Drosophila melanogaster: one gene and its partners. The protein of the gene in region 3 interacts with the protein of the main gene of each other region in a pairwise test. Each region holds a gene or a part of one and is shown on either strand. Other genes may lie near its edges.

Region 1 (9,194 bases), 4.3 Mb from region 3:
CGCCCGAGGGCGACGATGCGGAGCGAGACAACCGAAACTACGAGTATCTGACAATAGGGAAAGGCAAAATTCGCCGGCGCTCAGACAATGACGCTCAGACAGATACTCTGCTCTTCACCACTCGGGCAGTCAACACCATCCTCATAACCAAGGCCACCGTCAGCTCTTACGTTTCCAACTTTGAGATGTACGACACGCTGAACAATATCACCAAGGAGTTCGCAACAGCCACTATGAGTTCGGTAAAGGACCTGACCTCGGCTCTAGCGCAGACGGAGGATGCGGATACCTTTGAGGACGACGAGGCCGTTGCCGAAAAAGACAAGGTCAGCAGCCAGATAGAGCGCCTGTTCCGGAGCCCCGAGTTTCGCAACGCCATCATGTACATGGGCCGCACGCTCTCGAGCAACACAAACGAGGCGGGGTTACGACGCTTCCGTAACTTTGACCAGGTGGAACGCTGGAACGCGGAGGCCGAGTACGTCTACTCGATGAACTTGCTCTTTCGGCTGGTACCGGAGCCCAGCAAAGACGAGCGCAAGGCCGTAAGCGACATTGATTTCTGCCGCAGCAATGGTGACATCCTGGCTGTAGCCTACGGACTGTACTCATTTTCCTCACAGCACGTACCGACCTCCGGCAGCGTTTTCCTGTGGAGCATTAAAAATCCAGGCGAGCCGGAGCGCGCATACTACTACGATGTGCCAGTAACGGCAATAAACTTCTCGCCATTCTTGCCATCCTTGCTCGCCATTGGTCTGTACGACGGCAGCGTGGAAGTGCGAGATGTGAGCAGTTTGCAGGACACACCCGTTGCGGTCTCGCAGCGCAGCACTTCGCCAGGCTCCTCGCCGGTGGTTGCCATCCGCTGGATCAAACAAGTTTCAGACGACGATCATGAAACAGACATCGATCCATTCCTGAGCCTCTCCCAGGATGGCTCGGTCACCCGCTTCCGGATTATCAAAAGTCCCTTCCTGCTTGGTTTTACCCAAATGATTCTGGAGCGAGTCGAGGGGCATCCTGAGGGCATTTTCGTTCACCCATCGTCGCGTATCCCCTGCGAGTCTAACCGCCACCCGCAAGGCTTAAGCATCACTACACATCCTCTGCACAAGGACATTTACTACGTGCTGACAGATGAGGGCTGCATCCACAAGTGCTCAATCAATTATCAGCATCAGTACTTGGAAGTCCTGCGTTGTCACGACGGGGGTGTCACCGTAATGGAGTTCTCGCCTTGGTCTCCCAAACTCTTCCTCACCTGCGGCAACGATTGGTAGGAAGTGGCCCTCTATCAAGGGTAGCTAAAGATAGTATCTATTCTGCAGGTTCGTACGCATTTGGGTCGATGGCATCACGCGACCTCTTCTCGAACTGCTAGACGAGATGACCCCAGTGCATTGGGCCAAGTGGAGCCCCACCCACTCTACGATTATTGTGACGGTGAACCGGGAAACCGCTAACGTCTGGGACTTTCGCCGAAATTTGCTAAGACCCATGTCCAAGCACAAGATGGACTCTTCTTTTAATACTGTGGCCAGGTAAGCTTTTATTGCTTTCCGCAAAAATGGCCAATTGAATAGGAATTTCCTTTACCAATTCTTAGGTTTTCCCACTGTGGTCGCACATTGGTTATTGGCAACGAGCGCGGGAACACGCTCTTCAACGCCCTGAACGACATGCCCTTTTCGCCACACTTCCAATACGACGAGTTAGAGAAAGCCATTTTCAAGGCAATTGGCAACGACCACGAGCTTCTTATGGAGCTTAAAAGCATTGGTTTCTTTGGGTACCCAAACAAAAAAGCAGTTTTTTAGATAGGAAAAATGGTATTCTCAATAAAACAAAATAATTCGTCGGCCTGAAAGCGAATCTGGATGGCACTGATGAAATGTTCACGCATCAGCTATCTAAGAGACACAACGGCGATCGATCGAGTGTCAAACAAAACTACCCAATAGTAACTTGATATCATCCGAACGGACCGGGCATTACCTTGCACAAGCACAAAAATCCGTTCGAAAAGATGAGCTCCATTGTTTTTCGAGTGTGTGTGGTTGACTGTCAACGATGGTGGTCAAGTGGATAGGGGTCGATATAGGGTCTAGAGGGATCGGTGCAAGTCGACGGGTGTTATATAATAAATGCTCGTATAAGCTTGGTAAATGGAAGCCGCATGTGGGGGAAGAGCAGAATTTATTAAACAGTCGTAAAGAGAAAGTCAACAATAATGAGAAGATGTTCAACAGCACGTTACAGTCATAGCCCAAGAAGAAATAAAAATAGGTATCAAGCAAACAAGCCTTTGATAAAAAAGAAAAAATCGAAAACAGGGGTGAGAACAAGGTTATTTTCTGAATTGCTGTGTAGCCATTTGTCGCTGTAGTATTTAATTAAATAATAATTTCAGCCCAGAAGCTCGCCAAACAACGCAGTCCCCGTATTGCGACTTCCATGGGCGGTGAAGGGTAGGAATTGCACTGACATCAGATCAGCAATAACAAGAGTTATTTTTATTGAATAACTCACCTATAACCATATATTAAATTGTTGGAATATCAGGTATTTAATAGGTGGAAATATTATATTTCTGAGCTATCTGCATAACGTGTATGCGCTCACAACCTCTATGTTTAACTGTTTTTCCCTCGTTGCTAGCGTTGTCCTCCACAGGTCTTCCTGTACTGCCTTTCGCTAAAAGACTCTTTTTCAGAATAGTCCGAAGAGTCGCTGCACAAACAAAACCATTAAGAATAGTCGATTAAACCCTGGTTTTTACTCACTCTACTTCAGTAACGTCGGAAAAATCACCATAATCCACTGGTCGATTGCACAGACAACACTTATTGTGTGACTTTTCAAAGCATTTACCGCAATAAACCCCTTTGCATCCAGGAGTGTCGCAGGGGTTACGATTTGAACTAAAAAGGGGACATCCAACTGTAACCCGGAGTGTGTTTAACGATTGGAGTTACTTACAGAGTCAGAGATCGGCCACATATGGTGCACCTCTCAGTGCTTTGACAGGATGAGCAGCAGGAGCACATGCACATTAAACAGGAGAATCTATTGTTCAGCCAAGTGTAGTTTCTGGTGTGCTTCACATTCCGTGTGTGGTTAAACTCATTACGCTTTCTGCGGCGGATAAACTTAAAAATGCTTGCTGGAGAGAATACATTAGAACAACTTTAAAAGGTATGTACTTTCTTACTTCTATCTTCGGAAATCATGTTGTACAGAAACATGCCTCTTTCCTTGGCGCGTTTTGGATAAAAGTGGGCCATTATAAGATGGCGAGTACGCAAAATATACGGCTCGGCCAAAAGGATCAGCCAAGCGAGCAGACAGAGTAATAATATAATTAGATACTCCGCATAATCAGGTTTCACGGGCAGCGGGAGGCAAGGATTCACGTCTAAAATGCTTTTTTGCGTCAAGGGTCGAAAGGCATTAGCGATTCCCCGCATGACATCCGCCACAAAGCCCCCACCCTTAATCTCTAGATCGACGTAAGCGGGCACCTCCAGCCCAGTCTCTTGGTGGCCATGGAGGGATATAGTTGCCAACAGCCAGAACAGCCCGTAATCCAGAAAGCAAATCGCAAACAACTGCAAGCAGGTTGTGGCCATGAAACAGGCGTTCTCAACAATGGACACGAACTCAAACAAAGTCAAACGCAAGCTAGTAAGCTGCAATGAAATCATTGTAATATTATGTCAGGGAAACGTAGGGAAACCTTACCTTCATATACTTTGCCCTTTCAAGCTGATGAAGGGGTAGCAGTGGATCGTAACCGTGCTTTTCGTGCCGCCGGTCGATATCACTTAGTATCTTTGTCAAGAACACATTCTGAAATTGCCGGCTGTGCATATATCGAAGGTAGAAGATGGTGGCTCTGATGGGAACAATTGAGGCATCACCAACACTAAATTAATAAGATGATTAAGCTCTTGCCTACTTAAAAAATACAGTAACCACCATGACCCAGCAGAGAATGTCCACAAAGCTGCTCAAGAAGATAAACGACGACAGACGCTTGTTAATATCCTGTAAAATTTCCTCCCCCACGTCCGTCAGGCTCTTTGAAGAGTTTGTATCGAAGAAAAATTCGTGCTCAAAAGTGATATTGGCATCAAACATTTCCTCGATGTGCCGCACAAATTCACGGTAGCCTGCGAGATCGTATAACTAATAACCAAAGTACCGATCGTTGTTTACACTCTCACGTTCTGCGATTTTATCAAGAAGACCCCAGCTGAGATCCCAGTAACCGCTGCAAAACACATCGATGATCTTGGCTGGATAGCAGAGGGCCAGAAACAGCTTTGCAGCATGGCATAGCGCCTTGAATACGCCCATCTTTGACTGGCACCTGATCATTGCGTGATGCGCCGTCTTTTTGCAACGTGCCCAGGGAGTGCCCATTTCTGTGTTGCACAGGTCTACGATGGATTTCAGCCAAGCGGCGCAGTTCTTCAGGGTTTTAACTACAAAAATGAATCAGCAGAGAAAACTGCAGCACTTTTTAATACAGATACTCACTAATTGCGATCAATTGGTCCTGAATGCGTAACAGCACTACCATGGCCAGCTTGAGCACCCGACGCACTTCCCGCATCAAGAGATCCACCGCTAGCTGGATGGCATTCACCGGCTCCAGTATTACGTCCAACATCTGGCCAAGCGCCTGACGCAATAGCTCCTGTCCGCAAGCGAGGCTGCGGAGCATCACCTTCAAATTGGCTAGAATGTTCGCCGTAGGCCCAACTGCGGCAATAACAAAGGCAAGGCTGATGAGGAACGCCCTTCCCCGAGAGCTGCACAGCGAGGGAAGGGCCAAAGTCACAATGCACCTGGCAGCCAGTGAGGGAACACTGTTAGACACAAATCGTTTTGGGCTTTTTCAGGTAGTTCTTACCTTACGGGCCTGCTGTAAAAGACCGCCAGAACAAGCGCCACCGGAATCGCGAAGGTGAGATTAAGACCCAGAACCAAGTGGCCCAGCTGCCACCAGTTCCATGCGAGCGTTACCGCGAGGCCGCATAGGTAGCCGCCAATTACGTATGGTGCCACCAGCTTGAATGTCCACATAGCGCCATACCTTGGCTGACTTTCTTCCATGATTTTATTTTGATCGATTTCTTTGTAATTTATTTGTAAAGTCTAACACAACAGTCGGAATCGATATCGATATTTTCTCTTGGCGCCCCACTTAGTGTGACCAATTTAAATGTGAGTTTTCATTGTTATCGGAAATGTGACCCTTCTTAAAATCGAAAAGCCTATTGTTTGTTGTTTTTGGCTTATCCGATTCATTTTTGGCGCCCAAAAAGAATTTAAAACTTAACCGATTGCTTTTTCTGTTTTTCGCTTTTTTGTTCCTTTATTTCAAACAACATCATTTTTTCTCTTTCAAAATAACAGTTATTTTTGATTTATATATCTTATAAAGTTACGTCGTGTGATCTAAGCGAGTTTCGGATTTGAAATGCGTAAAACGCATCGCTGCATTCAAATCCAATATTAATACTATTCAACGAATCTATTTATTATAATATAATGAATAATAAAATAAAAATTATAAAAACATAAACATAAAATAAAATTATATGTAACTAAATAATAAGAAAATAAACAAAAAAATAATTTTTATTAATATTTTTCTCAAAATGATCAAGTTATTTTGGAGCTTCAGGTTTTTATACAATTATGATAAAAATAAATATATTAAATACTCGTACTGAAAGAATTCGCATACACTTGCCCCTGGTAAAATTGGAATACTTATTGATTAAAACATATGATGATTTTAGTATTCCACTAATCGTCCTACAGGTTTACCTATGCACTTTTCGATTTTATGGGTCTTTCCGTTATCTCCTCTTTTTTCTTTTTTCCTGTAGGCTATAAAAGGTAAAAAAGGCTTCTGGATTTGAAGCGCAATGCATTTGCAATTATTTTAATTAGGGCAAGCCCTTTTTGGATTGCAGAAATAGAGCTGTCTTTCTATATCTTAGCCCTGTTCACTGTACTCTTTCTTCGATTTTAGGTACTGCAGCACAAGCGTAGGGTAGAACAAAGTAGTCAGGTCGTTTTATGTGTATCTTACGTAGATTTTGAAACCTATTGAAATGTTGTATCATTTTGCAACGTTGGATACTGGGATACGCGCACTTATTACCCAATCAGTTAGATATTGCCAATTGTAATAACCAAACGAACCAAAATAAAAACAAATTTTATCGTAATTTTGTTACTTTGAAATGTTTTTGTATTTTTCTTTAATTTTTCCTGTTAATGATACGTTCCTTTCGCTCGATTATCTTTTTTTGTTTTACTCGTAATATATTTTTTATTTTTACATGCTTCTCTTTTTTGACATTCTTGTTCTGGTACTCATATATAGATAATATATAATTTGTTTAAATATTTATTTTACAGATTTCTCTCACTATCAGTGGCTCTCCGTTCTATGACATCGTTTAATAAATCGTAATTTTCGTTTAATTTAATTAATTGTATACTTATGTGTGTTGTTGCATATTGCGTTAATTTTAATTTACTTAGGTCGCCAAAAATAATTTACTTAAAAGTAACAAAAAATTAAATTATGTTTAGATGTATATCGACCAACGGCGATATGTATGTACAAAATGTATTTTTTGCTTTCTTTCAACTTCGACTCCTTACTCTACACCTCTGCTCATCACTTAATTACTGTAGCTTAAAGGTAAATATGGGAGGGGATGGGCGCGTTCTAGTAGTAGCAGTGGTAGCAACTTAGACATTTACAACATTTAACTAATTTGTTTCAAGAAACTTTGCAGTCTGTCTTACATCTATTACATATATCTTTGTATAAGACTTGTTTTACACACATTCAATTGGAGTCAGTTGGAGAGACAACGACCGCCAATCTTGACAATCTTTGAACGACTGTTGAGTTTTTAGTGGTAGCCCTTACAAAATAAAAATATAATTTAAAATTCGTTCTTTTATTAGGGTAGCTCAAGTCTTATACATTTCATTATAGGGCAAATAGGTAAACGAAAAGCATAATGAGAATGATAAATAATGATAATTAGCGTTAAACTGTATATTAGAATTACCTAAACAGTTGAGCGTGAAGCTGGAAAAACACCGATTTTGTGACATCGATGGTTTTCCGGCTCATTCCCATCTCCTTCCCCACGACTTAGGGTCTTTTTGCCGTGTGCATATAGCTCACATAGTTCTGTACATAGTTACACTGTTTACAAAATTTATATTAACATATATGTGATCTTCCCACGATAACAGAAACAAAAATTATTTCTCCGACGTACATACACATATTATGTATATTACAGTTTCCAGATAATTTCCTAGTATTATACCATTTAAATACGGATTTTAGTTTGCTTCACGAAATTACTTTTAATTTAAGCCTACAATGCCACCTTGCCTCCGTGTGTAATTCATTTCAATTGCGACTAACTACGCGCTAAATACGAATATATTTGTATTTATGTATGCTGTATATAAATATTTAATTTAAATTTTAAATTGAATTTACTTAGTCGTTATAGATGTATTTTACTTTAGATAAGTTTATTCTAGTGTTATATTTTCGCCCTAAGCACAATACAAATCGGAAAACAGAAATTTGGTTCTAATTAGCACTAGAGACACGATCATTATTTCCCCTTCATCACTTACTTCTACTTCTAAGCTTACTTCTATTCCCGCCCTCTTCTACGCCATCGCTTCGTTTGCACTAAATTTCAACTAAATTAATTTCACATTGCTATAAATAGGACTACGTTTACTTAGACGCCGTCTTCTTGCTAGGTGACGTCCCCGTTCTGGTGCTACCCAATGTCCGGTTGTCAGACGCCGTCGAAGCTTGAGGAGCGTTTACGGGGGAACTGCGTTTCACCGTGGGCGAATTGCTTGAGGAGGCGGCGGATGAATTTGAGATGACAGCCAGGCTATTACTGCTGCCGCTGGAGCAGGACACTGCAGATGTGGAGGAGGGATCTCCGTAGGCCAACTTGCGCATGTTCTCAATAGCTTCCGACCAGTGGATAGCATAGCCTTCGGGATCATCCAGGTAATAGGTTCGATTTGGCTGCAATGAAACCAAAAGAGTAAAATTAGTTGAGCGCAACGCTAATTTTAAACCCATTCACCAAACAAGTTTGAGTTTTTATCTGCCTTGCGTGTGCAGTTTTCAATGCCGCATTTAATTTGCTTTCATAGCCAACACGTGCCCGGGACATAAACTAACGCTCAAATTGCTTTTCAGTAGGCGTGTGACTGGCTACGAACTATAAGCTGTGATGTCATCGGTTCAACAAACTTATGCTTTCTCGGTTTTCCGAGTTGCGCCTCGTGCATCCTTATCCCACCATAGGTAAACACTTACCGTATGGACAAAAAAAATTTTGAAGTTTTTGTACTCCGCTCGGAGATCTGGGCTCCACGGAATTTCTCCTTTTTTGATCATCTGCACGGGATCGATATAGATGAGTCGCGGTCCCGTGGTCAGAAGGAGCATTCGCTTGCGGGCAAACAGACCCTTGCGCTTGTTGACAAACCCCTTCTTGAGGATCACTTCGCCGTCGGCAAAAACGTGCCACTTGTCAGTCTTTTGTTGCTCGAGACGCTGCAGCTTCTCGGCATCGTTCAGGTCGAAAGAGTCTGAAGAAAAACAATACATTCATTAGCCAACGTATTTTTCTGGGGCACCACGTGGACACTTACTCTTTGCGGTCGATCGCTTGACGGGCATGGCCACGCTGCTGCCAACGCCTAATTCTGCACTAAGCAGTCGCGATATCTGCCGTTCGTCAAGGCCAGGCTCCAAATCCCCGGGCACAGTATAGCTGGACCTGAAGTCCTCATCCTGACTTACGCCCGGTAAGTATGGGTAGATGGGGGGAGGGGTTTGTTGACGGAGCGTCTGCCAGTCAATGCCGGCGAAGAATGGGTGCGCCCGAATGGATTCGTAATATCCAAACTCGTCCTGAGCACCCAGGCGGTCTCGCGGATCGACACGGAGCAGCTTGCGCACCAGGTCCTCGGCGTCCTTATCAAAGCCTTGCGGGAAGTCCACGGCGCAGTCAAGAATCTCTTTAAAAATGACATAATCGTTGCTGCCACGGAATGGCGGTAGGCCGGCGATCATCTGATAAACTATACATCCCAGT
Region 2 (7,769 bases), on a different chromosome or scaffold from region 3:
AAATGATTCCAAGCTCTAAGAGGAATTTCTTTTTGACGAAGGACAATATTCCACCCGGAGAGGGAAAGAAATCTCATATCGGGGCCTCCTTGCCGGAGCCAGTGGATCGTACTTCCAATAATAAGAGTGTCCTGGATTTGCAAGGCCAGCGTAATCAAGGTAGCAAAGATGAGAAAATGATTCCAAGCTCGAAAAGGAATTTCACTTTGACGAAGGACATTATTCCACCCGGAGAGGGAAAGAAGTCTCATATCGGGGCCTCCTTGCCGGAGCCAGTGAATCGTAATTCCAATAGTAAGAGTGTCCTGGATTTGCTAGGCCAACGTAATCAAGGCGTCAATAGCAACAAAGATGAATTAACAATTCTAAGCTCGGACACCAGTGATACCAGCAAAGAGGAGAAAATGATTCCAAGCTCTAAGAGGAATTTCTTTTTGACGAAGGACAATATTCCACCCGGAGAGGGAAAGAAATCTCATATCGGGGCCTCCTTGCCGGAGCCAGTGAATCGTAATTCCAATAATAAGAGTGTCCTGGATTTGCAAGGCCAGCGTAATCAAGGTAGCAAAGATGAGAAAATGATTCCAAGCTCGAAAAGGAATTTCACTTTGACGAAGGACATTATTCCACCCGGAGAGGGGAAGAAATCTCCTTTCGGCGCCACCTTGCCAGAGCCAGTGGGTCGTAATTCCAATAATAAGAGCGTCCTGGATTTGCTAGGCCAACGTAATCAAGGCGTCAATAGCAACAAAGATGAATTAACAATTCTAAGCTCGGACACCAGTGATACCAGCAAAGAGGAGAAAATGATTCCAAGCTCTAAGAGGAATTTCTTTTTGACGAAGGACAATATTCCACCCGGAGAGGGAAAGAAATCTCATATCGGGGCCTCCTTGCCGGAGCCAGTGAATCGTAATTCCAATAATAAGAGTGTCCTGGATTTGCAAGGCCAGCGTAATCAAGGTAGCAAAGATGAGAAAATGATTCCAAGCTCGAAAAGGAATTTCACTTTGACGAAGGACATTATTCCACCCGGAGAGGGGAAGAAATCTCCTTTCGGCGCCACCTTGCCAGAGCCAGTGGGTCGTAATTCCAATAATAAGAGCGTCCTGGATTTGCTAGGCCAACGTAATCAAGGCGTCAATAGCAACAAAGATGAATTAACAATTCTAAGCTCGGACACCAGTGATACCAGCAAAGAGGAGAAAATGATTCCAAGCTCTAAGAGGAATTTCTTTTTGACGAAGGACATTATTCCACCCGGAGAGGGAAAGAAATCTCATATCGGGGCCTCCTTGCCGGAGCCAGTGAATCGTAATTCCAATAATAAGAGTGTCCTGGATTTGCAAGGCCAGCGTAATCAAGGTAGCAAAGATGAGAAAATGATTCCAAGCTCGAAAAGGAATTTCACTTTGACGAAGGACATTATTCCACCCGGAGAGGAAAAGAAATCTCATATCGGGGCCTCCTTGCCGGAGCCAGTGAATCGTAACTCCAATAATAAGAGCGTCCTGGAGGAAGTGGATGTGGACAATTTGCTAAGCCAGCGTAATCAAGGCAACAGATTCGGTGCCCAGCGCTTAGTTGTCAATAGCAACAAAGATGAATTAATAATTCTAGGCTCGGACAGCAGTGATACCAGCGGTGATGCCAATCTCTGCAAAGATGAGATAAAGATTCCAAGCTCAAAAAGAAAGTTAACATTGATGAATGACATGGTCTCTCCATCAAAACGTGCCCACACCGAGGCTGTCGGTCCTACCACGCCGAAGCCATGGGCTCCTGTTCTGGCAGATAAAAAGGATAATGACTATCCTTATGGAGGAAAGGAATGGGCTCGTAAGTTTTTAGAGAAAAAGAAAACCAAAGCAGAGGTGGCTAACCCTACCCTAGCCGAAGTGTCGCCACAGGAAGATGAGAGCAAAGTGGTGAAGGAGCTGCTGGAGACGCAGGAGCAGCTGGACATGGTAGAGGAGATGGAAAGGAAGGAAATGGAAAAGGAGAAAATTGATGAATGGCGAAAGACATCAAAGCAAGTCCTTGAGAAAAATAAGAAAGAGGAAAAGCTAAACTTGCAAAAGCCGAAGATGGCCAAGGGGAAAGTGCAAAAAAAGAAGTCGAAGGACCGGCAATGCGGGAAGACACTAAAGATTGCTAAGGGAAAATTGGAGGCTCTAAAGACGGCCAAGGATACAATGGCAGCAAAGGTGTTAGAAAAGCAGATGATTATGAAAAAGAAAATGGCCCAGAAGATGTCAGAAATTGAGGCTTTGGAAAGACATAAGAAATATGTAGAAATTAAAGAGAAGATGGTAATGGGAAATGGGAAAAGGAACCGTAGTGCCCCATACAGATATCTGAAAAAATAAAAAGATGATGATGACAAAGGAAGCCGGAGCGCCGCAGGAAGAAGGTCAAAAACACTCGGATTTCTGGGTACACTTGGATTGGGACATCTCCACATTGTGAATAAATATAATAACAAATAGAATAATCTTTTAAAAACACATGAGTTAGTCGTACATATAGACTTTACATTACGTACATTACTCTCTTGTAGCCAAAATCTTTAGTATGTCACAAATATGAGCTTTTGGAATATAAAAACATTGATATATATATATAAACGTTTTGACATCGACAACTCCCAATTTTGATGTTTAACTTCTGGGAAGGCAGCCAGGTTAAATATGGAATTAATATCAATGGCCTTATCAGCGCAATATGGGTTTCCCCATCGCCGCCAGTTCCAGTTTGGGCACCCTCTCCTCTTCCTCTGCCGCCACCGGAATCCCCGCCCTCTTAACTTTTAGATTTTTGCAGCTGAACCCATGAAATTATAATAAAATAGTCCACAAATCATTGGTTAAGTTTCTATCAGATTCAGACAATTTATGTTAAGCTGTAAATCAAAGAATTCATTTTATATTATAGTTTTTCCGCTTATTACAAAAGACAAACAGTCGGCTTACCACAAAAGTGTACAATTTAATGAGACAAAAGTGGGGAATTTGGTTTAATTAGAAGAAAGGCTGCTAGCGTTCTTCTTGTCGGCAGCTAAGGCGTTGAACAGACGGTTGACCTCGTTGGCCACCAGGTTGTCCAGGACGATGCCATTCTGATCGATGAAGGCGGCGCACGACTTGTTGCTGCTCTGCTCGCGCCGCTTGCCATTTTTCGTGTCGCGAACACTGAGGGTCAGCAGGTACTTGTCGTCGTACTTGCGCATATCGGAGCTGGCCTCCCACAGGCGCTCCCGCTCCTTGTCCTTCTGCAGGGCCACCGCAAAGGTGCCCTTCTCGCGGAAACTGGAGTGCAGGGTCAGAATGCCGAGGAGTGCAAAGTAGGCCAAAACACTGAAGAGGAGCACTGGACGGGATTCCGGGAAGGGGTGGGTGAAGTCCCAAGCATGGGCCATTATAGCCACGGAAACGGCGAGGGCGCAGAGGGCCAAACGGGTGTTGACCAGGCCGAATTGCTCCTTCAGCTGGGGACGATCGCCAAGGAGGCAGGTTTTCACTGCATCATCGAGGGCGTGCTTCACTGCGGATCCATCCCACTTGTTGACCTTCACCAGCTGGCAGGGCACATGAAACAGGATGGAGTTAGTTTATGCACATATTCACTTAGTTTACATTTACATTCTACAATGACGTGGAACACATCTTAATGGACCAAATGCCAAGCCGGCAACCGGTTTACTCACCTCCTCGCCTTGCTGTGACTTTTCATCCTTCTTGCCCATCTTCTATCTGCTCTCTATTGTGTTTTGATGCCCTTGATTTCCAAGAGAAGTTTGCGAAATGCTCAGAAAAACTCTTTTTTCTTTTTTCAGGAGTTTTCTTCGTTTTTGTGTGACAACGCGACAACAAAATTGTCAATCGTTATCGCTGCCAATCGATAACGGACTAGTTGACCGTGCTGCCAGATAGGGGAAGCTTAAAATACTGAAATACTAGAAACTGCAAGAATTGAAATTTCCCGCGTAATTCAAATAATTTTGAGCATAAAGCATTTAATCAAGTGACTAAAAGTTACTATATATAAATAAATAAAAAATGGCTCGGCCCAAGTTTTACACAAATCGAAGCTGAGTTTATCAAAAAAAAAGTGTGTGTTTTACAAAAAGTGTCTATAAATACGGAGTACGGAATCAATTTACATGGACTTCATTTGCGCCATCAGGTCTTCCAGACTGGTTTCGTCCGCGGTAGCTGCAGATACAGTTTCCTCTGACGTTTCGCTGGACTTCTCAGGAGCCTCGTAGGCGAGCCTCAGCCCTTCACCCATCACTGGGGTTTCGGCGGGCGTTGTATTACTTTCTGGCGCATCCTCGGCGACCAGTTCGATGCCCCATTCGTTGGTGGCATGCAGCGGCTCTTCGCTGACTGCCTTCTCTTCGATCAGCACAGGTTTGGGCCTGGCTTGGAACTCTTTTTGCCGAACTAAACAGTTTCTGTCATCGCACTGCGGATTCGGTTTGAGCGTCATCTTGGGAAAGAAGTCGCTAAGGGCATTGTAGCCCAGATAGTCAGAGACCTCGCCGAAATTCAGCAGATACTTTAATGCGTTCTGGACAAGGAAGCCAGCCGTAATGCCCATAGTTGTGGGCAATGAAGCGGCGCACACGCCCTCTCTCTTCAGCGTCTTCTCGTCGATGTTCTCGGCCACCACCAAGGGTGGTGCACAAGCGAAACAGGCGGTATCGCCAGGACGGATAAACTGAATGTGCCCCGAGACGGCATTTTCCGAAACTCCCGACTCAAACCAGTTGAGATTGCGTTCATTGCACGCTGCATTGATTGCCATTCGTGCCTCAAAATTGTCCACACAGCTGAGCACCAGATCCACCGGCTGGCCAGCTATCCGTCCGCCCTGCGATATTGTGTCCAGGAAGCGATCAAAGTTCTCCACCGTTGTAATATTGTAGTTGTGCGTCTCAATCTCCACGTCCGGATTGATAAAGCTCAGGGTAGCGGCGGCGGCCGCAACTTTGGAGAGGCCCGCCTGATCGGGCGTAAAGAACAGTCTGTTCATGTTGGCCAGCTCCACTTTGTCGTAGTCGAAGAGTATCAGTTTGCCAATGCCGCAGCTGCAGGAAATCAATTGATTAATACATAGCCTTTAATTAAAGACAACATATTTGGAGTGCTAGCTGTGGTGCACAATGACTGTTGCCCTTCTCTTCTTGTTGTGCACGCACCGTGTAAGCATGTCGGCGGTGACGCTTCCCACGCCGCCCACGCCCACAATGGCCACCGCCTTGTAGCGAATGCGCTCGTAGTCCTTGACGATGTTCATCCGCTGCAGGGCCATCAGGCGGCTGTACGGATTGGAGTCCACCACCTCGGCGGACATGCGATCGATGCGATCGCGTGCCAGGCGGCTGTTGCTAGCGACGCCGCCACTGGATTTCGGCTCCGTCTCCAGCTCCGTCTTCAGATCGGCGATGATCGCCTGCAGTTCGTCGATGGCGTGCGACATTCTGGCTTTGGGGTGGCTCCAGTTTCTGGCTCGTGTGTTTGGCTATGGACGCCAGCAATTGTTAATTGTTAACTTTCGCTTTTAAGCTGGTTGTCGCCGTGTCACTTTTGACCAGTGCTGCCAGATGGCCAAATTAGTTTGGTACTTGCGTTAGATGGGATGGGGCAACGCTGCATGTTAGTGATGGCCGAGGGTCGATAGTTATATACCAAAAATATACCAATTTACATTGCCAGCTGGTACAGTGTTGGTTAATGCTACGAATGGCGCGCATATTTGAATTTTAAGACGCATAAAATAGAAGACGAGTAATAACAGCAACCAAATGGCTGTCAACTCCATTTGCTGTATGAAAACATTTAAATTTCCCACTAAAATCCATTTGTATAATTACACAAAAGATTTATTGTCAAAATCATTACACACAAATAGGTATTATAATTATTAAATAACCAAAAAAAAAAAAGAGGAGTAGAACAATTAAAGGAAGATGACGATAGTTGTGGTTGCTTTTTGTGTTAAATGCGTCAAAAAAATAATCATTATACTATTCAATAAATCGAGTGTGGGAGCACGTTTATTATTATTTAATATTATCAATATTACTGTATAAACCGGTGACTATCACTTGCCAACAAGTGGAGTTATATGTATGGATAAGTGTCCGTTCTGTGTAGCTTATTGTTTGCGGTGTACGGTGTATGGTGTGCTGCCCGCCTGTTCCGCCTGCCCCACCCGCTCCACCTGGTCCACCTGGTTCGCCTAGCTGATGTTCGTCGCGGCCACCGGGGTTCAACTGGTCCGCGGCTGGAGGCGCACGCGGAATCCCTCCTCACGCTTTAGGATGATGTCCGCCTGCAGTTTGAAGTCCGATTCGGTCAGGTCCGAGTAGACACGGTAGTTCCGCAAAATGGTCGACAGTAGGATCTTCAGCTTGAGCATCGCATACTTGCGCCCTAAAAAAATAATTATAATAAATGAAACAAAACATTATTCATATAGACGATCCGAATATTCACATAATTTGCTTCAGTGTTATATCTGCAACTCACCCACACAGCTGCGTGGTCCCGCAGAGAACGGCACAAAGGCGTAGTAGTGGCGATTGGCCTGGCGCTCCGGCAGGAAGTTGTCCGGATCGAAGACGTTGGGATTGGCGTAGACCTTCGGATTGCGATGGAGCAGGACGGTGGCCACCGTCACCGTGGCGCCCCTGGGAATCACGTAGTTGCCCGAGTTCAGCTTGAGATCCTCCTGCAGCTCGCGGGCGATCAATGGAACGGGTGGGTACATGCGCAGCGTCTCCATCAGACACCGCTCCAGATACTTCATCTCCAGTGTGTCCTGCAATCGGAATGCGGACATTTTAAGCGGTTAACGTTCAACATTCAAGAATATAACTAACTAACTATGGTGATGTGTGCGGCATTAGTTACCCACCTGAAATGTGGCCGGTCGCTGGGAGTCGCCAAAAATGGAGTCGAGTTCGGCCAGTACGCGATCCTGGATGTCCTGGTGGATGCCCATCAGCGAGAGAAAGAACGAGGAGCCGGCTGCCGTGGTGTCGTGTCCCTCGAACATGATCGTGTCCACCTGCTCCTTAATTTCCGTGTCCGTAATGAGTGCTCCATTCTGTGCACTTTCGAGCATCAAATCAAGGAAGGCCAGCCGCTTCTTCTCACCAATATCATTGTCCTCCACATCCAGGTCATCCTTGAGACCAGCCGACTGTCCATAGGACAGTCCCGCCACCGGACTGGCCTTCTCCTTATCCTTCTCCCGATCCTTCTCATCGCTGCCAGCTGTTGATGGGGTCTGGTCAACACCACCATTCTGTTCCCGTTCCCGCTCTAAGGCGGCTGCCTTCAGCTCGCACTGGGCAAGGGATCCACGGGTGCCCTGCTCAAAGGCCGCCTTCTTGCTGCGGATCACCTTGGTGGTCAGGCCGTGGATGATGTTCAGCAGGCGACCCTGCTCCTTGTAGTAGCGCGTCAGGGTGAACACGAACTCGTTGCGCAGAAAGATGCTCCGATGGCGGGCGTGAAGGATGTCGCACATCCGCATCACGGCCATCGCATACTCGAATCCCGATTTGTCCTGCGTTTTCTTCGACACACCCATCGCAGTCTCTGGAATTGCCAAAATGTAGCACCCAGAAAGGTGTGTATTTATACAAGTAGGTTTAGATTGTGATTATATTAAATAATAACTAAAAGGAAGTATAAGTATAACCTCAATATCCCATCACATTCGAATCGTACTTTTCCTTTCAGTGCAGAGACTCG
Region 3 (8,204 bases):
AAACGGACAGGAGAGCGGATCGGCGAAAGGAGATCTCCGTCCCACTGATTGTGTTATCGGATAATGTATACTATGGTTAATGGCCGGGCGCGCTCGATCGGTCTCCCCAAATGGAGTTTCCGAATCGCTGTATATACCAGATTCAGACTGCCTTTGCATAATCCCACAGGTCGCGTCGCTCTGTCTAACAAAAACCAAAGACCATTTCGCGTTGGCTTAATTTATGCAAATTCTATTCTAATTAATATTATGGCCATTCGATTTTTGCCATATATGTGAGCTTAACAGGCGGCAACTTCTTTCTCGTGGCTGCCGCCTTTCCTTTGTCTTAGTCTTTGTATTTTGTCCGGCATAGTCACACGCGCTAGTTAATTTAGTTTTCAAGATACTCTAATTGGGGAGGATTCCCTATCCCGCATTGTAGTTTATATAAAATGGAATCTTATCTGAAAGCTTGCATATGGTAAGGGCATCGTATTATTATCAAAATTATATTACATATTACAAGGTTAGTTGGCTGGGAAGTAAAGGTATTTATTAACAGTTTATGTTTCTTTTATTTGTATTTATCTTAATTAAATTTTAGAACAATTTCTTTACATGTTTCTGCTCTCCATCAAAATTTATCAAATAAAATATAGTCTGTTGCTTTTTTTACAGCGTAAAAGAAAGTCTGTTTCAAAAGACTCTAACACTCACTAGCCAAGTACACGTTTTAGTCTTTTACGATAAACTTAACGTTCTTTTAGCCTGTTATGCTCTTTTTTCGTTTAACTAAAATATATGATAAATCATTCTGGAAACCCGTTTTCAAATCGCCCCACTCTTCGGAGCCGGCGACTAGAAAGTGCCACCACCGTCATGAAGCGCATCTCCAGAGCTCTAAAAAAAAAAAAACAAAACAAATCCGAAAAGAGCTAAATTATAAATATACAAAAATCAACGCCAAGCAACAGGGCAACAAAAAAGATGAAAAATAAAATTCCGCACACTTTTAACACTCGGCTCGTGGCCAATAAATAATGGAAACGCGTGGCAGCCGAAATTTGGCAAGTTCCTTTCATGTAATTCTGATTCTGATTCTAATTCGATTCTTATTTTGGGGCTGCCTGCGGCTCATCGAGGGGCTTTCTGTTTGATGGCTGATAGAAAATAAAGTGCGATCGTTCTTGAATATGTATTCTCGGTTGTGGGCTGTCTAAAATTAATTATGTGGCTGCCAAGTGCTGAAAATTAATCATCCGAGCATCGAATGCTCGTCGATTTTTTTAGGCTATGTTTAACGGATGACGCAAGGCGGAGTTACATGAGATCGGATTAGTTATGATCCCGAAACTCAGAACCCTTTCAGTACAGAGTTGTAGCTCTATGTTGGCCATCTGGAAAGTCATTAAATAATAAATACACCTAAAGAAATCAGAGTACATTCGATATATTTCATACATAAATGACTTTTGATTATAATTAAATTAATTGATTAATTGAATTATATTTCACTGCCTTAGTGATTAAAATTGTTCGATTCTTATTTAGTAGAACAATTTAAATTGAAAAATTAATACTGTTCTGAAAATTCTCAGTTCTGATTTTGCGCAGTGCTTCGGGAAAGCCTAAAAATTATGGTTCATAATGTTTGATAGCAATAATTGCCAAAGAGGCGGGTGGCACCGGATCATTGAACTCCAGCAGCCCCACTTTGAACCCACTCACTCGCTTTGCATAGCCACAAGCCCGCGAAATTCGCACAGACATCATCCGAAATTTATTTCTGTAATCAGCGGGCTTTTAACGGTCTCCGTTAATTTTATGCCGAGCCGAGCTCCTCCGTAGAGTTTGATCCGAAAGTTTGCCATAAATTATTTTAATTTAATGCTACTTGTAGACATTTTTTTGAAGGCCCTGCTGCGGTCATTTGACTCTCTTAAGCTTGCCAATTTCACCAGGAGAAGTGCGCTGATTTATGGGGATCAGCTAATAGGTTTCTATGGGTCGGTGCATTGGGTCACGAGCCGACGAGATGGGCTAAGGCTAATCCTCTCTGACCTACAGTTGGCCAAAAAACAGACGCACATGCCGGCAGTGGACTGCCCACATTTGATTTAGGAGTCCACTCGCTAATATTGACATTGATTGCCGAATTTAAACATTACTAAGGCCCGCCTCAGTCTGAGTAAAAAATAATCATAACAAAAACATAACATACACGCAGCCTTTTATCCATAGGTCACAAATGAGGTGGGCCAAAAACGGATCCAATGAATGTGTTTTGGGCAGCTCACCTCTATGCAGTCGACTGGCCAAGATATGCTGCCTGGTGAAACAATAGATTTTGTTTTATTTCTATTTTGATTTCAGTTGATTGGATTTGCATGAGAATCGAATCTAAATGATTGCATAAATTTATGTCGACAATTCATTTTGCCTCTCTCACTATAAAAAAAATGTCTTTGTGCCTCTATTTCTATATAGCTCTGAACTAGTTTCCTTTCCGCGTACCCTAATGGACAATATATACACCTTTTCCATCAAAGGCAATCGCAGATATGGCCAGAACATAAATGCCCTAATCTATTTGCACGTGTATATTTATGTTAATGTATGTAATTTAAAGGCAAACAAAAAAATCAAATATACATAGTTGGTAAATATCTGGATATTTTTATGTGCAATATAGATATTTGTAGTCTGGTGTAAAGCTTAATCAAAAGCTCAATTTATAAAGCTCAGCTTGAAAACCCGTGTCGATTTCTCAACAAACTTTAAAGCTACCTTGAGCGGAAACGGAAGTAGCCGCCATAGTTTTCGCCTGAAAGTATGCTTTAAATAAGTAATCAAGGTTTGTTTGGTATGCTCTTGTAGCAAATGCTGATAAGTATGATTTAATTTATGTTATAATATGTTCTGTTTTAAAATACTTAAAACTCGAATGACTGTTTGGGCTTCTGGTAGTGATAGCCATCCTCACGATAGTCAGTGTCGTACTCCGAAGCAGATGTTTTAAGATCCACATTGTTTCGCTTTGAACTGCGCCTATGAGATCGCAGTTGTTTGGGAGCAACCACATAAGAGGACTGCTTGTTACTAGCCGCAAAGCCCAGAAATCCTAGCTGCCCATCATCGTCCGCATCATCGTCATCGGGTATAAGGACTGAACGCTGATTAGGATTAACCGATACCAAAGCCCGCTGGTGTCCATGATGAGGATCGCTGTAGAAGTTGCCGTCTATGATGTTGGTGTCCTGTTGATTTCCCAGCGCATTTGTGGGTCCCTGGAGATGGGGTTGTCCGAAAACGTTTCCATTCAGCACATTGAGACCCTGGTAGTTGGATCGATTGCGCTGTCGTCGGTTGTTGAGGCGTGGTACTTGTCCCGCTGCCAATTGGGCTCCAATGGAGGGGTCGGACTGTCGCTGATTGGGATCAAAAGCTCCTGGTCCAGCTGCATTGGGTCGCTGGTTAGGCACGCCTTGTCCAGCTCCAAGTTGGGCACCTGTCGAAGGATCAAATGCTCCCTGTGCACTTGGTCTCTGGTTAAAGCCCTGACCTGCACCCAATTGAGCACCCGTAGAAGGATCAAATGCTCCCTGTCCACTTGGTCTTTGGTTAGAAACACCCTCACCTGCGCCCAATTGAGCACCTGTAGAAGGATCAAATGCTCCCTGTCCACTTGGTCTTTGGTTAGAAACACCCTGACCTGCGCCCAATTGAGCACCCACGGAGGGGTCAAAAGGGCCACCTAGCTGAAGGTTGGGATCATATTGGTTTTGCGCAGGTCTTTGAGGTCTTTGACCAGCTCCAAAACCAGTGTTAAATGGTCCTCCGGCAGCTGCTTGGGCACCAAAGGAAGGGTCGAATCCTTGGCTCCCTCCAAGTTGAGCTCCTCCCGCAAGCTGACCTCCTCCGGCAGCCTGTTGATTTCCAGCTCCAGCATTACCTATGGCTCCCAGCTGAGCGCCCAGCGAAGGATCAACAAAAAAGTTGAGTCGGTTGCCATATCCACCTCCATAGCCACCTGGACGTGGAGGTCGCTGACCGTTACCCAGAACAGCCAATTGTCCGCCGGCAACAGGTTGATTGGCCGGAAGATTAGCACCAGTGGGAGCCAAAGCACTGGCTGGTAGCTGAGCACCTATGGGATCAGAGGGTCCACAGCCAGGTGGTACGTTTCCAGGTCCAACAAACTGGCAGTTGGGTCGAAATCCTGGTGCCTGGGCTCCAGTCGGTGCTTGAGCCCCAGCAGGATCCTGTGCTCCTGCTGCACGATCTGGGCGAGTAAGGGAATTCAATTCCGAATCCTGGGACTGCACGTTGATCTGCGTGTGGGTGTGGAACACCGAGTTGGGGGCACTGGCGTATAGAATTCGACTAGGACGACGGCGGCGATAAACCACTTGGGTAGCAGCTGGGGTGAACAAGTCCTGATTGTAATCCGTACGGACATGGGGCTTGCTATGCTTGTAGTGAATGTGCTGGGTCTTTACTTCTGGCTTCTTGTCATAGTGATGGTAGTGATCCACTCGCTGCTTTTTGGGCTCTTCATGTTGATGCTCCTTGTAGTATTTGGGCTCCTCGTGCTCCTCTACCTTGTGGTAAACCACCTTTTCACTGGTGTGCTTCTCCTTCTTGTAAAAAGGTTGCTCCACCTCCTTTTCCTCGTGGGGAGGTAGGTAATGGGACTCCTCATCGTCATCTTCGTGATCCCTGGAGTGATGATGCCGCTGGTGCTTGTGGTGTTTCACATGGGAAACGTCCGCCAGACATGCGATTGCCATAAGGCATAGAACCAGGATCACGAGGACATTCTAAAATAAAAATGGATTGGTGAAATGCGGAACCTAGAACCTATCGTTGATCCGTTACCATTGCTAAAGTGCCAGTGACTGTAAGCAGCTGTAGATGCAACTTATATACTCTCTTCGGGATCTTTTTTGTTGCATCCCCACATCGAGCCCCCAAAAAAGACCACAGTTGAAAGCGAAACCTGTTGCCGAGCGTGAGAAATCGATTCCGCGCTTTATGTGACCCATTTGTTCTTATTGAATAGCCGCCAATTTAAATTCTATTGAATATTCTGAAGCACAACGAAAGTGTCCCGTAAATTTGTCAGATCAAAGCGTTTAAATTTATTGGCCCAAGTGCGCTGCACACTTATGCGATAACGCATGGGTTCTTTGAACTTCGTTTCCAGGTGTGAATTTGGCCTAGTAATACAATTGAAGCTTCAAACTAATTTATCATTAACAACTGATTGTTAGTTATGGATAAGAAAAACTGCACTCCAGTACTAACTAACAATTATTAATAAAATTTAATTTTGCGATTTTTTTTTTCTTTTCTAGCAAGAATTTTAGCACTTTTGAAATGTTGTTTTAGGTTTTATAGTTTTTTTTTTTGCGCGCTTCTTTTGCTAAAACTATACACCATATCATTCTTGTTTAATTATCAAATTATCATATTATCTTTATTAGTGTTTTAATGCTCAAATAAAACTATGTTTTTATAAATTTAATATTCGAGTTTTTTATTGTCGCATTTTATCGTATCATCATCATCGTTTAAGCGCGGTGCTTGAACACACGGCGACGGACGGTCTTGTACTTGTATCCCTGCTGGCTGGCGGCGGGCTGGCTATAATCGTATCCGGAGCGGGCGGCAGAGGGGGCGGAAGCTGCGGCCTCGAACACCGGTCCGGAGGACTCGAAAGCAGGAGCTGGAGCAGAGGCGAAGGACTGCACGGGGGCGGGGGCGGGAGCTGGAGCAGGAGCAAAGGACTGAACGGGAGCTGGAGCTGAGGCGGCGGCATGGTGGTGGACATGGGGAGCGGGAGGCACGTATGTGCGGGCTGGTGCGGGTGCAGAGGCGGCCTGCTGGAAAACGGGAGCAGGAGCAGCTACTGGAGCTGGGGCAGGGGCAAACGACTGCACTGGGGCAGAGGCAGCTGGAGCTGGGGGCACGTAGGTCCTCACTGGAGCCGGAGCAGAGGCAGCTTGCTGGAAAACAGGAGCCGGGGCAGAGGCGGCTACCTGGCGGGGAGCATTGTAGTTGTAGCCAGATTCGGCGGCCACACAGCCAACCACGGCCAAGGTCAAGATAAAGAATTTCTACAGGGAAAAATCGAAATAGAATAATATGCCAACTAATATAATCCGCAATACAGATGGGAGATCCTTACCATTTTAGATGATCTGTTTGCTTTAGGAGCAACGAACCGAATAATATCTTAGACCGGCGACTCCTGTACTTTTATACAAGTCGGAGAATCTGCGGATCCAAACGGAAGTGCTGAGTATCATAAATCAACGAAACGTTTTTCTTCGCGTCGAAAAATTTGTTTAATTGGGCAAACAGATACCTCGACCACGACGCCATATGGGGCTTGTTTTTATCAGTTAGGTACGCCATGGAGTTTGGATTTAAAACTCTCATTTTTTTGCTGTCATATTAAATATAAATATTCATAAGAATACACGTATCACAGCTTAATTTTTTTGCCAAAACAATTTTATCGCAAACCTGATAGTTTGGTTTCGTCTTGAAGAAGAGCTTTTTTAATTCACCCAAGCTTTTGCTAAGACTAAACCCGATATTGGGTTAATAGAAACAGTAGCAGAGAGCTATTTTTAAATCGATCCAGAACAAGAAGTATAGCAATTAGCCGGTCATAAACTATCTAGTCAGCCGTATACCTTATCCACTTAAAGCAAACAAATTGCTCAGGCTAATGACTTAATGTTCCGCTAACTCGATTGATGGACTGATTGATTAATTGTTCAGAGAAGCCTCAAGATCGCGACTCCCAAGGTATTAGGTATCTTAAACATTTCCTCTTGGGGTTAATGGCATATGGTGCCCTTTTTTGCATAATCACGTTATCTGATCTGTATTGACGCCCTCCAATGGTCTCGAGTCTAAACAATGTTATTGTTTATCTTTCTGAGCTTTCTTTATTGTCTCTTTTGCGCTAATTCGAGAATATGCTAATCGTATCAAGTCAGACACACAAATAAACCTATTAAATGTATTTTTGCATTTCTTTGCCAAGATGGTGAATTAGCATTCGAATATAGTTGGTGTTGTGGGTTAAACCACAAACCAGTTGAGTTGGTGGTTGCTCAGAAATGTTGTTTCGGATGATGAGGCATCTTACTGGGGCGGCAGGTAGGTGTTACGAGGAGCGATGACTTGTGGCGGCAGGTAGGTATTGCGCGGAGCAGCCACCGAGATCACTTGCGGAGCAGGACGAGCAATGGACACCACCTGTGGAGCAGGACGAACAATGGACACCACCTGTGGAGCAGGACGAGCAATGGACACCACCTGTGGAGCAGGACGAGCAATGGACACCACCTGCGGAGCGGGACGCGCAATGGACACTACCTCTGGAGCAGGACGCGCAATGGACACCACCTCTGGAGCGGGACGAGCAATGGACACCACCTGTGGAGCAGGACGAGCAATGGACACCACCTGTGGAGCAGGACGAGCAATGGACACCACCTGCGGAGCGGGACGCGCAATGGACACCACCTGTGGAGCGGGACGCGCAATGGACACCACCTGTGGAGCGGGGCGACTAATCACTTGGGGTGGCAGATAGGTGTTACGAGGCGCAGCCACGGAGATCACTTGGGGAGCAGGACGAGCTATCTGCACCACTGGCGACGGACGATAAACGGGAACCACTTGTGGCACCACCAGAGGGGCGGGAACCACCTGACGCTCGATGATCTGGGGTTGAACTTGAACCCTGGGAACAGAGATCACCTGGGGTTGCACCACCTGCACCTGAGGCGGCAAATAGGTCCTGGATAGAGAAGTGGCACCGACCACTCCCAAGAGAGCCACTGCGAAAGGCAAGAAGAGGACACGCTGGGCAGAAAAATTTTCCATTAATCTCACAATTATTAAATCCAATCCGATTGAAACCCACCATGTTGATCACACAAAGTCGAACAATTAAACTGTTTTTTTGCGAGCAGAACATTTGGTATTTATAAGACAATTTGGGCAGAACCCCAAATATATAGTATATCTAATAACATTCAGCTGGTATATCTTTTGCATATGTATCGGTATTGTCATTCTGATTGCAGTCGTCTGGCGAAATGCGGTTACGACTGCGAACCATAAATAAAAGCAGTAGTCCAGACGCAGGTTCCATGTCAGCCATAAAACAATTGCTCGCATCAATTTGAGTTAAAATA

What was found. Proteins that work in one complex are often made in the same cells at the same time.
Region 1: the proteins of CG11349 (region 3) and CG6845 interact in a two-hybrid assay, tested with the Drosophila melanogaster proteins (one large-scale study listed by BioGRID).
Region 2: the proteins of CG11349 (region 3) and Spase25 interact in a two-hybrid assay, tested with the Drosophila melanogaster proteins (one large-scale study listed by BioGRID).

Annotation. Positions count from the first base shown.
Region 1 is NT_037436.4:142,434-151,627, reverse strand, and holds CG6845 (uncharacterized protein), read right to left. Parts: upstream 5,196-9,194; 5' UTR 5,125-5,195; coding exon 4,922-5,124; intron 4,857-4,921; coding exon 4,546-4,856; exon of another isoform or gene 4,491-4,545; coding exon 4,230-4,490; intron 4,176-4,229; coding exon 3,962-4,175; exon of another isoform or gene 3,899-3,961; coding exon 3,745-3,898; intron 3,693-3,744; coding exon 3,215-3,692; intron 3,167-3,214; coding exon 2,983-3,166; intron 2,925-2,982; coding exon 2,787-2,924; intron 2,734-2,786; coding exon 2,658-2,733; 3' UTR 2,572-2,657; downstream 1-2,571. Other genes in the region: Dic61B (dynein intermediate chain at 61B), read left to right, coding at 1-1,279, 1,332-1,544, 1,610-1,820; Pdk1 (Phosphoinositide-dependent kinase 1), read right to left, coding at 7,808-8,113, 8,411-8,685, 8,749-9,194.
Region 2 is NC_004354.4:11,481,369-11,489,137, reverse strand, and holds Spase25 (spase 25-subunit), read right to left. Parts: upstream 3,889-7,769; 5' UTR 3,746-3,888; coding exon 3,707-3,745; intron 3,578-3,706; coding exon 3,017-3,577; 3' UTR 2,572-3,016; downstream 1-2,571. Other genes in the region: CG33235 (uncharacterized protein), read left to right, coding at 1-2,369; Uba5 (Ubiquitin-like activating enzyme 5), read right to left, coding at 4,159-5,092, 5,204-5,484; Cyp4g15 (cytochrome P450 4g15), read right to left, coding at 6,277-6,440, 6,537-6,828, 6,925-7,613. UniProt on the Drosophila melanogaster protein: Component of the signal peptidase complex (SPC) which catalyzes the cleavage of N-terminal signal sequences from nascent proteins as they are translocated into the lumen of the endoplasmic reticulum.
Region 3 is NT_037436.4:4,469,736-4,477,939, reverse strand, and holds CG11349 (uncharacterized protein), read right to left. Parts: upstream 4,873-8,204; 5' UTR 4,864-4,872; coding exon 4,861-4,863; intron 4,803-4,860; coding exon 2,916-4,802; 3' UTR 2,845-2,915; downstream 1-2,844. Other genes in the region: CG32248 (uncharacterized protein), read right to left, coding at 5,556-6,101, 6,173-6,175; CG32249 (uncharacterized protein), read right to left, coding at 7,144-7,869, 7,931-7,933.